3 linked regions of the Daphnia pulex genome follow. The protein of the gene in region 1 purifies or fractionates together with the protein of each later gene. This does not show direct contact. Links are inferred from orthologs where the notes say so. Each region holds a gene or a part of one and is shown on either strand. Other genes may lie near its edges.

Region 1 (5,178 bases):
GTTCGGTAAAAGGACGAAAGACACAACAACGCATAGTTTCGAAAGGACTTTGTCCTCCAAGAATGAAAATAAAAAAAGAAAAAGGGGGGAAAGAAAGAAATATAACAGGTTGTTACAGCTTGTGAGAGAGTCGACAACACGGTCGGGGTCTTCTTCTTCTTCTTCTTCTTCGTTGTAAAACAAAATAAAGAGAGACGGAAGGAGATTTTTCGGCTTGCCGAGTGAAAGGAGCTGGAGGGGGGGGGGACGTGTCTCATGTGAGGATTGCTGGTTGGTCGGGCTATCAAAACACACGCTGTTATATTTCGGGCGGGACGGGCCCAGCTGTTGACAGCTGGCTCCATCAGCGCTTCTTCTTCTTTTTCTTTTTGCCCTTTGACAACATAACAAGAAGAGTGGCCGTGTGTGTGTGTCTCTTTAAAGCTGGAAATGCCCGGCCGATCAGTCACACGCACACGCGGGAGCGTTGCACAACACTAAGAGAAATTCCACTTCAATTTGATCCGGCTGCTTTTTTGTTGGGTGGGGGAGGCGGTACCAAATAAAACAAGAAGGGGGGCCTTCATTTGAGTTGCTGATAACAAATTGATGGCCGCCAGAGATTAGACGTGTGAAAACTACTCGAAGAGGGTCATCAATTTGCCATTCCGGCAGCGCCAAAAGATTTTTACTTTTTTTTTTCCTCCACGATCAATTAAGCAATCAGGAGGGGCCGCTCGGACATGTCGTGTTTACCGATGCCGTTTCATGTCCGACTATTCGTCGATGGACACAATCAAAAATACAAGAATTTGATTAAGGACGAGCTACCGGATGGATTGCCAATTTTCTTCGTCGGGCCATGGCGGGCCAGCCAGCCGATGATCAACATGTGGAAAATGTCCGCCGGAATCGAATTTTCCCCGTCAGCTCTTAAAAGGGTCGACATTTTAGGACTGAAAAAAGGTCCTGAATGCAATCAGCGACAATTAGATTTCCAACATTTTCCCGGATGGGCATGGATTTCGTCGCTTTTGATGAGCACCAAACATCCCACACACTGTTGATCAAAGTTTAACGAATTTTCTAAATGTTTTAGAGCTCTTCCGCATTAAACGTATCGATTATTCTTTTTTGGGGCTTGGAGTAATATCACAGAGTCTTCCAATTTCTCCTTGACATGCAAATCCTCAACCGCTCGAATTCAGGACAGCCGATTGCTGCCTTTACTGGATTGGTGGTGGGTGTCATCAGATTCCGTCGTGCCATTCGGATGAGTTGGGAATGACGGACCAGAAACTTCGCCCGGGTGGATCGCCTTACTCCAATTCCATCCCGACAGCAGCAAAGCAAAGCAAAGCAAAGCAGCCCAGGAATTTGTCTTGTTTATTATTTGTCGCTGAACTTTTGGGATTGAAACAAACTCTGGTTTCACGCTGAAGTGTCGCGGCCACTGTGGTGTGTATGTACGTACGTACGTCTCTGGTACCCACGCAGCTTTTGTCAATCTGACGTCATTTGTACCACAGCCCATCAAGAGTGGAGGGAGCTGGGAGGGGTTTATTTTCTTGTTTAGGCAATTGGTCGGGTTACTTCGACAGCCCTGAAGAAAGAAATTGTACTTGAAGAAATCAAATAAAGCAACGGTTTTTACTTGTAGTACACACAGTCGTAGACGATGGAGTATACCGAAACATCAAACGAAAAGAAAGACGACCGCAACTGCGTCACTCGGCGAGCTTTGGTAATCGTTTTCATGGCCAAGGACAAAACAGAATTCAAGAAGAGACATTTTTCTTGTTTTGGGTTTTTTTATTCTTAATATAATCCTGGCCCCGGCCTTCAGAAGTTTTGACTGTCCCCATTCCACTTGAACTGAACGACGAGAGAGCATTAAAAAGTAAGTAGTCTACTCTTTTTGATCATTGTGTGACATTGAAGAAGTTGCCTTTGTGTGTGCAGGGTAAGTATGTTTGATGTCAACTGTCGTGGGACTGTGTTAATATTGAAAAGGTTTTGTTTTTTGTGGGGGCGAAAATGTATTGATTTTTTCTTTGTATATAAAGACGATTACAAAATACAAATACACTGTTGCGTACCTGTCAACTTGAGTTTTCATTGATTATTTTTGAATTTCGATGGATAAGGATACAAGCTTCGGAAATGAACGGTAGATGGACTCAGTGCACTGGCAACACGTGGTCGTCTGCTAGCAAAGCGTGTAACGTGGTTATGACTTTTGATGAACAATTTACCAAGTTATTTTCTTTGTTGCAGTAAATTTGACGGTTGATTGATATTGTTTTTTTCTTAGCTGCTTTTGCAATTATTTCTCGTAAAATGGACAAGAACCTCTTCAAAATTCACAGCACCAGATTCTACGATGTAGAACCAAAAGCGATACACAGTATGGCTTACGAGTCTAACCGGCTAGCTCTTTCCAGGTAATTCAAAAATGAAAGCTTTTATCCCATGACAATGTTGCTCATTTTGTATTGAAAAATTGAAAGGTCAGACAACAGTATAGAAATATGGAATTTGGAACATTCTCCTCACATTGAAAAGTTGATTCCTGGTTCCCCAGAAGGCTCAATCGAAGCGTTAGTTTGGTCCAAAGGCAGGCTCTTTTCCACCGGCTTGCATGGTTTTGTGGTCGAGTATGACTTGGTTGCTCTTTCGCCCAAAGCAAGTTACGCTGTCACATCAGGATCTGCATGGTGTCTTGCAGTCAACAAGGAACACACACACTTGGCGGTAAATTGTTTTACATTACAGCAAAAGTATTTGTAATTCAATTTTTGTTGTTGTCTGCAGGCCGGCTCTGAAGAAGGATATGTCTGCTTGTTTGAAATCTTTGAAGAAGGATTGATGTACTATAAAGTTTTCGACAAACAAGAAGGTTAGAACTTGAAGGTGTTTTGACGATTGCAGTGGAATTTTATCTTTTGGTGCACATTTGAATCTTTAGGTCGTATTCTTTCTCTGTCCTGGCACAGCTCAGGCGACTTTATCGTCACAGGATCATCCAACGCGATAAGAGTATGGAACGTGAAAACTGGTCACGCCGTCAATCGTCTATCTCTCGGTCGTGCCGACAGTTTTAAAGTAAAACCATTTGCCTTCCACTTTCCATTCAAAGTTCTGACTCCATTTCTTTTTAATAGGAAACTCTCGTCTGGTGTGTCTGCATCACAGACGACTTTGTCATCATCAGTGGCGACTCTAGAGGCATGACATCGTTTTGGAACGGTAAATTGGGCACTCTGATTGACGAAGTGAACGCCCACAAAGCCGACGTACTCTGCCTGTGTCTATCTGAAGATCAAAAGACTCTCTACTCGGCTGGTAAACTCAATTCATTGGTTCAATTAAAAACGGATAGATAACATCATTGGCCCACTCTACAACATTTGATTGAATCGCAGGAGTCGATCCGGTCATAGTGCTCTTTGCTCGCGTCACAGCCGGAGTCCGGAATCAGTGGATTCGATCTGTCCAGCGTGCCATCCACTCCCACGACGTACGCAGTCTGGCCCTGGCCGGTTCCAAATTAATATCCGGAGGTATGTCGAAAAGAAAAATCATGCATTTAAATTGCAAAAAGAATAATGTTCAATCATCTCGAAATGAATTCCGTCATATTTCTTTTTTGATGATTTATTTCTTTTTGGGTTTTTCTTTCAAGGCGTGGATGCCTATTTGTGCATCTCATCATATCCTCCAAAGGCGTTAAATAGATACCCACCCTTACCTCAGGTATGTGTATAAAAATATCGAAAAAGAAAAATGAGAAACGGACTTGAATAATGATGGCTCGCGGTTGTTGTTGTTGTTGTTGTTGTCTTTTGGGGATTCGTCTACAACACACAGGCGCCGTGCGTGCAGATGGCTCAAGGCAAGCGACAGCTGCTGCTGCGTTACCCGACGTCGCTGGATGTGTGGCAGCTGGGCGCGGCCGCCCCGAGCGGTCACCAGCTCAGCGCCAATACTTTTTTGAAACTATCCCAAGAGCCGGCCCGTCTCTTGCAGCTGAAGGCTAAAGATGACGAATGGATTGTCTGCGCTACCGTGTCACCCGGTGGCGATTACGTGGCCTACGCCACCGAGTCCAACGTCTACATTTATCATTTCATTCAGGTATTTATTTATTTATTTTTTCTGGTCCCGTATTTTTCGGCCTTTCACGAATTGCTTTTTCTTGTTCCGTTTGACGTGAAAAATGTGAAAACGACTTTCTTTTTTATATTTTTCATTTATTTCTCTCCCCCCAGTCGGCTGGAACATTGCAACTCAAAAAGTTGGTACCGCCGGAAGACGTCGGCACCTGCCACCGGATGATGTTCATCCATCACCCGACAGAGCCCGACCTTTCTGCCCGTCTCTTGCTGGCCACGCCGAAATTGACGCTCCAGTTGGTTGACGTTGGCAGCTCGGGATCGATGAAAATGGTTCACACGTTCAGCCGCGAGAGCGGCCAATTGACGATGGACGACTGCATCCATTTGATGGACTGCTCGGCCGACGGTCGACTGGCCGTCGTGGCCGATCACACGAGCAACGTCGTCATCCTGGACCTGAAATCCTACAAAGTGCACGCCACTCTGCCGCGCTACAAGAGTCACCCGACGGCGCTGGCCTTCCATCCGTCGTCGCATCTCCTGGTGGTGTCGTACGCCGATCACAAGATCGTCGAGTACGACGTCATCCGTCGCCAGTACACGCCCTTCTCCAAGAAACTCTCGGAGAAGCTGCCCGTCCAGTGGCTGAGTCGATCCTGCGCCGTCCGGCACATCACGTTCGACGTCCGCCACCCGGACGTGATCATCCTGCACGACGACAGCGTCATCTACACGATCGACAAGAACAAGGTAAAGATGGGACCCTTTTCGGTATGTTGTCATCGACGGTTGTTGTTTGGCTTTCTTTTGTTTGATTTCTTTCTTTCCTGGGAAGGCAAAACAAGTTGATGGCCGCTTTGGTAACAGTTCCCCATGACCCCTCGACTGGCCAGTGGAGAGTTTCTATTATTCTTATCCCTTTTTATTTTCTTTCTTCTTTCGCCGGTTGGAATAGGAATTTTCTGAGCCGGATGCCAAGATTACCAAATTCGATACGGGAACGGAGGACAGCCTGGACGCTCCACCCGCCGCGCTCAAGGCGCCCTCAGCCCAGCAACAGAAACTGAACTCGACGGCGGCC
Region 2 (5,100 bases), on another chromosome or scaffold:
GCTAAACAACGAAATCTGTTCCAATTCCAACCAAAGTACCAAACACCCCAAACACAGCTACAATATATCATCATAAAAACAGCTGACAGTTAGATTGGCTGACGCTTTCACGCTTAACACACCCGTGAATTTAGAATTTTTTTTAATCGGTTCTTTTTTTCATATTTTATTCTTATTATTATTTGCACGGAAATATGTGGACAAAATCCTGTCTCTGGTTCTATGTCTGTGATGGGTGTTACTAAAACGCGAAGCGAAACGGCGGAACGCGAAACTCCTAAAACGCGAAACAGTGGTGCGAAACGGTCCCAAAAATTGGGGACCGTTTCGCGGGTCCAATGGCCTAAGGGCATCCTAAAGTGCGAAACCATTTGCGAAACCTTTGATTTGTGAAATATAAAAAATTTCCTGTTTTTAAATTTCTGAACACCCTTACTACCACGCCCCCAACTACTTTAAACCGCTCCTTACAACTTCCGAACGAATCCGAACGAATTAAATCAAGATAAAAAAAAAGAGCCTCTAAAACGAATCTGTCTTTGCGGTTACAACTTCCTTTCTATGCTACGCAATTGAGAGAGGAGGATTCCTCAAGTTTGTTCCCAAGGACCCTGATGTCAAGGGAAGTCGGACAAATAAGACAAAATTCGAAGGTGAAGACAAAATCGGAACATGTAGTAATATTTTTCATTTGCGTTGAGAGAAGGCGCGTGATAACACACAAGTATGTTTTCTATGAAAACAAAAAGAAATGGTTTGTATCTGTTTGATCAATTTCATACGTCGCGCCCGAGGAGACGATAGGGACGCTTAGTGACGCCATATATGGCGGACGTGCGTGATTCGTTAACAATCTAATCCATACGTCCACGCCAATATGTGACGGTGTCAGTATAAATTCTCTTTTTCCTCTACTTTCCTTTAAAAGCAGACAAAAAAATGAACAAATTGCCAGGCACTAAGGACACATTTCAACAATTTTCAACTCCAGCTTTCACGTATGGCACGCAAATGCTTTATGCGTACCGTTCAGCTTTATGAAAATGTAAAATGCTTCGTTTTTGTTTTGTTTTTTCAATCTAAACTGAACGAGAAAAGATTTCCCTCCTGACGCTACTTGCGATGTCATGAATGATGAAATAACGGAACGAGATTCCATCTCAGATAAAAAGGCGGATAGCTGTTAAGTTTTAAAATGCTATATTCGGTTGAGAAAGACAATTCTACTTCGTTTTTCGATAAAAATGTCGTTCAAGTGAGATTTTACCCAGAATGTCAACCTTAGCATAAAAAAAAAATGTATCGTGCCCTGTGCTGGATTTTCTACGTAATCGCCAGTAAATATTTGTGGTCGTCGCGCTTTCCAAAGCAAACGCTTCACGCAACTTTAGCAACGAAGAAAATACACGCGCAAACAGTTATACAACTTTTGAAACTTATGCATGAAATATTTGAACTTACTTTGTGTTTTAACAGGACCATGAATGACCTCTACATGCAACTACACACATTGGCAGTGTGCCCTTACTGTAAGCTGAGAAGTGATAACCTAGAAGGCTAGAATCATAATTGTCATAATCAATAATAAGAATCATAATGAATAAATGTTGTGTAGAACAGTAATATGCACTTCTCGAAACGAAGAACTTTAAATACACGGAAATTTTTGAATTATATTCTCGTCTTTAAATAAATAAATTAAAAAAATAACTTACTTTCAATTTTTTATTAGCTTCTAGTTCGACACTTTGACGACTACTTTTAACAATACACTGACGACTGACGTCGACTGTTTCGCGTCTACGGTTTCGCATTTTAGTAAGACCTCTAGCGCCTAAACTGCGAAACGGTCCCGAAAATTTTTGGGACCGTTTCGCACCACTGTTTCGCGTTTTAGGAGTTTCGCGTTCCGCCGTTTCGCTTCGCGTTTTAGTAACACCCGTCTGTGATTTCTGATAAAATTATATTTGCCGCTGTTTATCCCCAGCGTTGCGCGGATTGCTTGTTATTCCGCACAGACGCTACAGAGTGGCAACCATTGCCATAGCAGACGAACAATTTTCTGTCTTTTTCTTTTCGGCTTTAAATAGTGAAAATGGCGAATAAGAAAGCACGTGGTCCGGATAAAGCTAAAACTAATACAGACAATATTGTTGTTAAAAAACAAGAAGATGCACCCGACATTGTTAAACAACCTCCGGTTTTTACCGACGATTCAAGGTATAGTAATTATTTCAAACAGTCAAAATGTTTAGGAATTATTTTGTTTGTGCTTCTATTCGCTTGACAGGTATTTATGCATCGCGTCTGGCCGCCAAGTAGGAATTTACAGCATCCAATCGGGAGATAAAGTGCATTGTTTAAAAAAACATAGTTTTGATATCATTGGTTTGGGTATCAAAGAGGAGAATGTTCTCTACTCGTGTGACACCTCTGGAGACGTTATTGAATGGGATATAAAAGACGGAAAACTACTGAAGGTTGTTGTCTAGTAAATTTATCCCCTCTCAAGTTTTGTTTTCTTAAACTTCCATTCTTTTTGCAGAAAACTTCAGTTGCAGTTGATGGCATGAAAAAATTCTGTTCTTTTTACTATCCAGGAAATGGCATGTTTCTGTTATCAACTCCATCAAAAAATACCAACGGTTCCTCTCTTTGGATTGTCAATAGCACAAGTGAAAGGGAAATATTCTCTGAAGATATTAGAAAAGAACCCCAGTCTGTTGCATTTGGCTGTGATCAAGGAAATGGATCACTGGTTATAGGGGCCTTGAATTACCAATGTAATGGTGTGTTGGTCAAAGACATGAATAGTGGAGCTGAGAAAAAGTAAGCTATATATTTCTATAATTTTGAATTTTAACTTATCAAATATTTTGAAATAGGCACATGACAGACAAGAGAAAGTTCACTTGTATTGCTTTGCACAAGGAAAAACTTATAATGGCCACAGGAGATATCTCTGGCCGTATTCTTCTTTGGCATGACTTTGTTAATCAGATCAGACCAGTGAAGACTGTGTACCATTGGCACACACTTGCTGTTTCCTCGGTCTGTTTTTCTAGTGAAGGTTTGTTGCTTTTAAGAGGTTCTGCATGACTGTGTCTTAATTATGTACTATTTTTAAATTTAAATTTAGGTGAATACCTTTACAGTGGAGGATCTGAGAAAGTAATGGTCAAGTGGCGACTTGAAGGCAAACACAGACAGTTTCTTCCACGTATGGGCTCAACAATCAAATTCATTGTGAACGCTCCTGATAACATCTGCGTCGCCACATCTCATTCCGACAATGGTAATGATCAAACTTTTAATAAGGAACAAAAAAGGTTTAAATGATAGAATTTTATCCCCCCCCCCCCATAGCTATACGTATAATTGATTCGACCAACAAAATCAATCAGGCCATTTTTGGTGGGTTAATCAAACACGATCCGATCCGTGGTCTTGAAGATGGTGAATCAAAGAAAGAATCGGTGATGCCTACTGGTCTGGTTTTTGATCCACGAACCCAAGGAATTTTCTTCAATTCACAAGCTGGATTCCTCCAGCTTTTTGATCCTCTGAGAGGTTCCATGATTTTCAATGTAAGACAATTTTTCACACACAAGTTCGATCACAAAATGTTCATTAATGAAACAAATTTCTTGTAATTTGTTTTCTAGATGGACATTGCCAATCGCAACGTTCTGACTGACGAACGAAACACCATCATCGGTAACGCCGAAGTGTTGCGAGTTGCTGTGTCACCCACAGGTGAGTGGTTAGCAACACTGGAAGTTTGGTCGAACATGTCAGCAGGCTATCATGACATGAACTTAAAGTTTTGGCGATACGACGCTGTGCAAGCCAACTACGAACTCAACACGGACGTAACTATGCCACACCACGATCGGATCACCTCCTTGGCCTTCCAACCGGGACTGCTGGGCACAGAGTACCCTTGCCTCGTATCTATTGGCCGCGATCTTAAATTCAAAATTTGGCGGTTAGTCGACGACACGGACATTTACCGTCAGAAGGAATCGTGGACTTGCGACGTTGCAGGAGACTTCCGTAAAATGATGCCAACCGCTGCATCCTTTTCGGAAGACGGCTCGTTACTGGCCATTGCTTTTCAAGACACTGTTACTTTATGGGATCCAATGACCATCAACCTCAACACGACTTTAAGCCATAACCTTATTGAAGAATCTATTGAGTAAGTTTTCAAACCTAAAACGATAATGGCTAGTGTTTTACTAACAGTTTGGTTACTCTAGGCTGATGGAATTCGGAAGAGATCAATGCTTTCGCTATCTCGTTTGTGCTTCAAAATCATCCCTCTTCGCATGGGATGTAATTAGTAAAGGACTAGTTTGGAAAGTCGGGAAATTGCGTAGCCCTATCAGGTGTTTGGTGCCTGATCCCAAGTCCAGCTATATGGCAGTGGTCTTGCAAAACAGTGAAGGTACTTTTCCCGTGAAAATCCATTAATGAAATTCGAATGCTTATCTTTCATTGTGTTCATAGTGTTCGTGTTCGCACCTTCGAGTTCGAAACCGGTACATACTATAACGAACGTGAAGAGTTCAGAACCTATTGCGGCTCTTTTTGTTCCCCGACCGAATCCTCTGGCAAACAGCCCAGAATGGCTAGTAAATTCACGGCTTTTGATTGTTGATGATCAACAAGTAAGATTAAAAGATTTACTATGTGAACCATCACCGTATTAACGAATTTCTTTGATTATAGGAATTTTACAGTGTGGATGACAATTCCGTCTGTGGTTTTGACGAGAAGTTGACTACCCCAATTTCTCACATTGACAGTTTACCTTGGACTCCTTTCTCAGCCATCAAAGCACAGAAACAGATCTCGGCAGCCAAGCAGATAGTTCCGGTCATCCATCAAACAAACGGCATCAAGGGATATAAATCAGTTCAATCGGTAACTACATTTCTCATCATCAGTTGTGTATACATTTACTTGATTAACTGATTCTTCCATTTGGTCTATTTAGCTGTTGGAGACGTCAACTTCCACCTTACCTCCAATGTCTAGAATTTGCAATTCCTTCATGATTGACCTCATGATTAAGCATGACACCAAATTGATGAC
Region 3 (4,947 bases), on another chromosome or scaffold:
CGTGTTGTTTCTTTGACCACTGCCGGGATTTTTTTAGTTTTTGACGCTACTGGGGTGGCAGTAAAGCGAAAGCCAGCCGACTCGCGAGCCTTCCTCATTAGATCCCGCACGTGCTCCGACAGATGCTTTTGCATTTCCTGTTGAAGAAAAACAAACAAATGTGTTAGCTTATTGATATTAGGGGAAAATGTTTTTCTTTTTACCTGTCTAGCTTTCATCTCACTCCCAAAACTGCTGGCTGTGTACTGGCATCTTTGAAGCAGGTGGCATGAGTAGGAAAATGTTCTACGTATTTCATCTGAATCCATCAGAGAAAAGAGATCCACCAGTTGTTTCTCAGTTAGGAGCTGAAGTTGAGCCAATGATAATTTATTGGCATCAGTAGTCTCTTGTTCGGGTTCAGGTCTTCCTTCAGTGACCTGTTTGCGAGGCCTTCCTCTTGGGTTGCGAGTCTTTCTAGCCAAAGAATCATTGTGGAGAGTAGCTGAAGCAACTTCTGCTAACATATTCAACAGTCCACTGTCAGCATGGCAGCTATCATCATCTCTTGATTCTTGGGCTCCTTTCCCTTCAATGTCATCATCACAACTTTCCATTTTAACTTTGCACTCCAGTTTTTGTGACATTACTCAAGCTACGATTCACCCTTCATTAGTTTTTGAGAATGGTCCTAAAACACAGAAAAAACAACATCAATAATCTAACAAAACAGACAACAACAAAAACCAGTAATCAATCAATAATACCAGGCTTGGCATAATATAGTTATTCCCAACTCAAATAATAAGAAAATAAAATTAACATCATAATAAATATTAAAATAAAAAAAAAATTAATTAAAATCGTTAAGCTTTTTGACTTTTGACTCGTAGTGTTGACTATGAAAACATTAGCAACTCTAGCAGAAAGGCGTCGACAGTACTATTATACGAAGTTTTCGCGCCGCTTGGCTAAAATGGCAGCCGACACGGCACAAACGCAGACGATGTACATCCTAACGGCGGCATTGTCCGTCATCTCGACTCGACTTTCAACAATTTTCGATAAAACGACAAAACAATCTTTAACGAAATGTACCTCAAACTACTCAGAATCGAACTTCTAATCTAAACAACACCAACAATTGTCATGAATATGTCAGATATGTTAGGAAATAACGTTAAAAAATGAAAAATGCTTTGAGATCAAAACTACCTTTAGTCTGCTGGCTTGAGTCGTCTGGAGAGTGAATGGTGGGGGGTAGCTAACGCTATGTTGCCGATTTCCTATTTTGATTATTTTTTGCTATCATAATTATGTGTTATTTATATTTATATCTACTGTTCAGCATTAATAAAAATTTATTTCACAATTCATAGGTTGTAGTTATAATCACTGGATTTATTCATTGCAAGTTAAAAAGCTGTTCCTAATTCATCATTAACAAGCTGTTTTTTAACACTATTTCAACGTAATTAGATTAAATTCACCATATTTATTCTCATTTATTTATCCCGTTGAGGAATTTCAGTCTAGCTGGAATATTTACAGGATTTTAAAAATAAATGGGTCGAGAAATCAGTGTGAAATACAGCGTTGTGTGAGATTCAAAAGAATTACAACCACTTTACATTCTTAGTGCACTAGTGAAATTACATTTGTCGACATCGATTGTATTTCCACGTGCTGCTGTGGAAAGAAAATTTGATGTAATGGCGGCTCGCACTTCAGAAACTGCGTTTTCCCCAAATGGACAATACTTTGCTAATGTAAGCACCGACAGCCGATTAAAAATATGGGAGTGTGAATCCGGAAGACCAAAGCAGGAATTTACCCCCGCGTCGCACTTATCAGCCGCTTGCACGTGTCTCGTTTGGGCACCCCCTACCAAACAGCCGGAACAGGTAAAATTTTTCGTTGTTATTAGTTATATGTAATATATGTAATCATTAGTCAACTTCTTGCAGTTTTAACTGCAGATCATCTGATAATGTTTTGAGGACATCAGTCACTGGACTTGCTTGTGTCATTGTCACTCGCAGAAATCTAACTCCAGAAATTGTGAAGCCATCTTTAGTAATTAAAGCTCATATAACATTTACAGATATTACTGATAAGACTAATTGAGTTCTGGTTTGATTATTCAAATTTTAAAGTGTTGTTAGTTCTCTTTATACTAATAGTACTAGGTAGATACAATTGCCTTGTCCCTGTGTATGTACCACGAACAGTTGTATGGCTTGAATAACAATTGTTTATTCTTTTACAGATTGTGAACCAGAAGAAAAAGAAACGTAAATCCAATGGAGAAGAGAGATCTGGGGTGGCTGGGAGTGATATTATTGCTCTTGGTACAGCCTCAGGAAATATTCTTCTATATAGTCTCAATAGAGCAGAATTGGTACAACAGTTGAAGGGAGGCCACACAGGGAAAATACGCTCTTTGTGTTTTAATAGTGACGGCTCGTCTCTTTTCAGCGCTGCATCGGACCAAAAAATCGTTGAATGGGATCCGGTGGAAGGTGTTATGAAAAGGTCTTGACAGTTCAGAATGTGATAAAAAAGTTCCCATTATTAATGTGGTATATTTTGTTTTAGTCATTGGAAGGTGGAAAAAATCCACGTTTCCCGAATTTGTATGCTGCAAGATGATTGCACTCTTGTAATAGCTGGCCGTTCAATTCAATGTTGGAATGTAGAAAGCCGCTCGATTGTAGCCACATTCACCGGCCACACAACAGAAATTACTCATCTGCTACCCGTGTATTTACCAGGCACAAAAGTTGGATACTTTCTAAGCGCTGCTGATGGAGACCGTTGTATCAGTGCATGGTTAGTGTTTGTAATAAAAACTGAATAATTCAGCATTTACAGTTGCAAGCATTACTAATATTGCAGGAGATTCGTCGGGGAAGAGAAAAACGGGCAGTCCCAGGCGTCGTTTACTTTGCAAGATGATCCGTATAATTTTACCGTTTCAAAACCTGTTTCTGACAAGGATCCAGTCGTTTTGGCGGCAGTGACGGTCACAGGGATCCTTCACATCTTTGAGCATCATTTAAATGGGTATAATTTTTTTGTTACATTTGTGTTGAATATGGATTCAATGATTTGTTTTGTAATTTACTAGACGGTCAAAGAAGCCTTTGCAACCAGTTGTAAAGATCCATATTGGAAGTGATGTAGTTGGTACCGCAAGTCCACTTCCCGTTTTATCTGCATATTCGTGTGGTGATGCAGATGGAAACTGTATCATTGTATACGGGTCGCTTGTTCGACCTGGATTTGAAAAGATGGTATGTTTTATTTATTTAAATTTGCTGGTGTACATAGTAATTATTATTCGATATGTGTAACAGTGTTACCGATCCCAAGAAGGAATGGCTTATATTGTTCGAAGAGATCCAGCTTCTCTGGATAATTCTAAATTTGATACTACGTCATCGGCTTTGAAATTGAAAACTCCCATATTGCCAGCTGATGTTAAAACCTTAGCTCCAGAGTACATGGTGCCAATGGCAGCGTCCGCTGAGGTCGGAGGTGTTGTTGCTGGAAGAAAGCGGAGAACGCAAAATTCGGAATCAAGTTCTGGTCCGGTTTCGGCAAAAGATTCTCTTCCGATGGAACAGAGGCTTTCAGCTTTGAATCTTACCAAGACCGTCGATGCCGTTGCCCCTCCACAGGCCGATAACATGGCCCAACTTCTTCTTCAGGTTTGTTGAAACACCAGTAAAATAAAACCTCTTGCATTGCTTCGCATCATCTTAACCTCTTCTTCGTCATTTTATAGGGGCTACACAGTAGGGATCCAAAAATTTTACAGAGTGTGTTGGATCGCGGTGATGTTCACATCATCGGCAACACGATTCGGCGAATTCCAGTACAGGCCGTTTTGCCACTTATCCTAGAACTGACGCGTATGATGCAATTCAGAGGGCATCCCAATTATTCTTATGCAAAGTACGTATATTTGTCGTGTGTTCCTAGATAAATGGCTGTTCTTACTATTCTTTATTGTTTCCCGTTGACAGGTGGTTGCGATCTTTGTTGGAACATCACGCTGGATATTTGACATCGTGTCCTGATTTGGCGTCGGTTATGACGCCACTCTTAGCTCTGATGACTGCCCGCACTTCGCTCTTCCCTAAGCTTTCGCAGTTACGTGGTAGACTGCATCTTATGTTGGGAGAATTGGAACATCGAAGCGATAAACAAGATTCTACAACAACTGAACTACCAGCTACAGCTCTTCTTGTGTACAGAGAAGGTATTAAAATCAGAAATATCGACTCAATGTCTATCAATACTGACGACTTAATACTTTCCCAGAATCGTCCGACGAAGCAAGTGAAGAAGGAGATTGGCCACTACAATCTGGGTCTGAATCAGAAGATCAATGGGATGAATTATCTGATTATGGCGAAAGTATGGACGTGAACGAAGTGAAAGGTGACAGTGATCAAGAATCTGACGATGAAGACAATAATGAGGAAATCGACGAAGAAGTGGAAGAAGCTTCTGATAACGACATTGAAAGCGTTGTAGAAAATGGGTTGTCAGATTGATTTAATTTCAGTTCCCCATGGATTCATGAAAATTACAAATGAAGTTAATTTTCGAAATGTATCTACGCAAAAATTTTTTTATTCATTCCAAAAAAACTTTTACTTAACAATTTGCGTCTTGTCGATTCCTTTGTCGACCACAAGACGGTCAATCATATGTACAGCACAACATTGAATCAACAATAGAGCTTATTTGGAAATCCAAGCTTGCACATCGTCAACATGGGAATCAGTGATTAGTAAAGTCGAGATGGACATGCAGCTCTTTTACGCCAATCGCCTGGAATATCTGTTGAGTACGGTGTGTAACATACCGCGCATCAGCTTCAGGTTTCAACTCAAGCTTTAGTGCTCCAACATACTTTTCGGAACAAAGTGTCCAGAAATGCGGCTCCTTTAGATA

What was found.
Region 2: the proteins of U3 small nucleolar RNA-associated protein 4 homolog (region 1) and WD repeat-containing protein 75-like purify together in Homo sapiens (co-immunoprecipitation; 3 studies listed by BioGRID and IntAct, counting the BioPlex papers as one, with this or other methods). This does not show direct contact. The link is inferred for Daphnia pulex from reciprocal best matches to the Homo sapiens genes UTP4 and WDR75.
Region 3: the proteins of U3 small nucleolar RNA-associated protein 4 homolog (region 1) and WD repeat-containing protein 43-like purify together in Homo sapiens (co-immunoprecipitation; 5 studies listed by BioGRID and IntAct, counting the BioPlex papers as one, with this or other methods). This does not show direct contact. The link is inferred for Daphnia pulex from reciprocal best matches to the Homo sapiens genes UTP4 and WDR43.

Annotation. Positions count from the first base shown.
Region 1 is NC_060026.1:2,372,181-2,377,358, reverse strand, and holds the start of U3 small nucleolar RNA-associated protein 4 homolog, read left to right. Parts: upstream 1-2,166; 5' UTR 2,167-2,221; coding exon 2,222-2,237; intron 2,238-2,293; coding exon 2,294-2,423; intron 2,424-2,489; coding exon 2,490-2,733; intron 2,734-2,793; coding exon 2,794-2,878; intron 2,879-2,947; coding exon 2,948-3,084; intron 3,085-3,143; coding exon 3,144-3,324; intron 3,325-3,404; coding exon 3,405-3,542; intron 3,543-3,664; coding exon 3,665-3,735; intron 3,736-3,849; coding exon 3,850-4,116; intron 4,117-4,250; coding exon 4,251-4,847; intron 4,848-5,052; coding exon 5,053-5,178. UniProt on the Homo sapiens protein: Ribosome biogenesis factor. Involved in nucleolar processing of pre-18S ribosomal RNA. Part of the small subunit (SSU) processome, first precursor of the small eukaryotic ribosomal subunit.
Region 2 is NC_060024.1:6,402,766-6,407,865, forward strand, and holds the start of WD repeat-containing protein 75-like, read left to right. Parts: upstream 1-2,012; 5' UTR 2,013-2,095; coding exon 2,096-2,220; intron 2,221-2,290; coding exon 2,291-2,480; intron 2,481-2,545; coding exon 2,546-2,829; intron 2,830-2,885; coding exon 2,886-3,070; intron 3,071-3,139; coding exon 3,140-3,295; intron 3,296-3,366; coding exon 3,367-3,587; intron 3,588-3,665; coding exon 3,666-4,201; intron 4,202-4,262; coding exon 4,263-4,450; intron 4,451-4,512; coding exon 4,513-4,673; intron 4,674-4,734; coding exon 4,735-4,929; intron 4,930-5,002; coding exon 5,003-5,100. UniProt on the Homo sapiens protein: Ribosome biogenesis factor. Part of the small subunit (SSU) processome, first precursor of the small eukaryotic ribosomal subunit.
Region 3 is NC_060019.1:12,668,847-12,673,793, forward strand, and holds WD repeat-containing protein 43-like, read left to right. Parts: upstream 1-1,505; 5' UTR 1,506-1,691; coding exon 1,692-1,883; intron 1,884-2,248; coding exon 2,249-2,514; intron 2,515-2,577; coding exon 2,578-2,811; intron 2,812-2,877; coding exon 2,878-3,045; intron 3,046-3,109; coding exon 3,110-3,275; intron 3,276-3,338; coding exon 3,339-3,692; intron 3,693-3,769; coding exon 3,770-3,939; intron 3,940-4,010; coding exon 4,011-4,246; intron 4,247-4,308; coding exon 4,309-4,544; 3' UTR 4,545-4,605; downstream 4,606-4,947. Other genes in the region: uncharacterized protein LOC124191035, read right to left, coding at 1-137, 204-626; zinc transporter 7-like, read right to left, coding at 4,774-4,938. UniProt on the Homo sapiens protein: Ribosome biogenesis factor that coordinates hyperactive transcription and ribogenesis. Part of the small subunit (SSU) processome, first precursor of the small eukaryotic ribosomal subunit.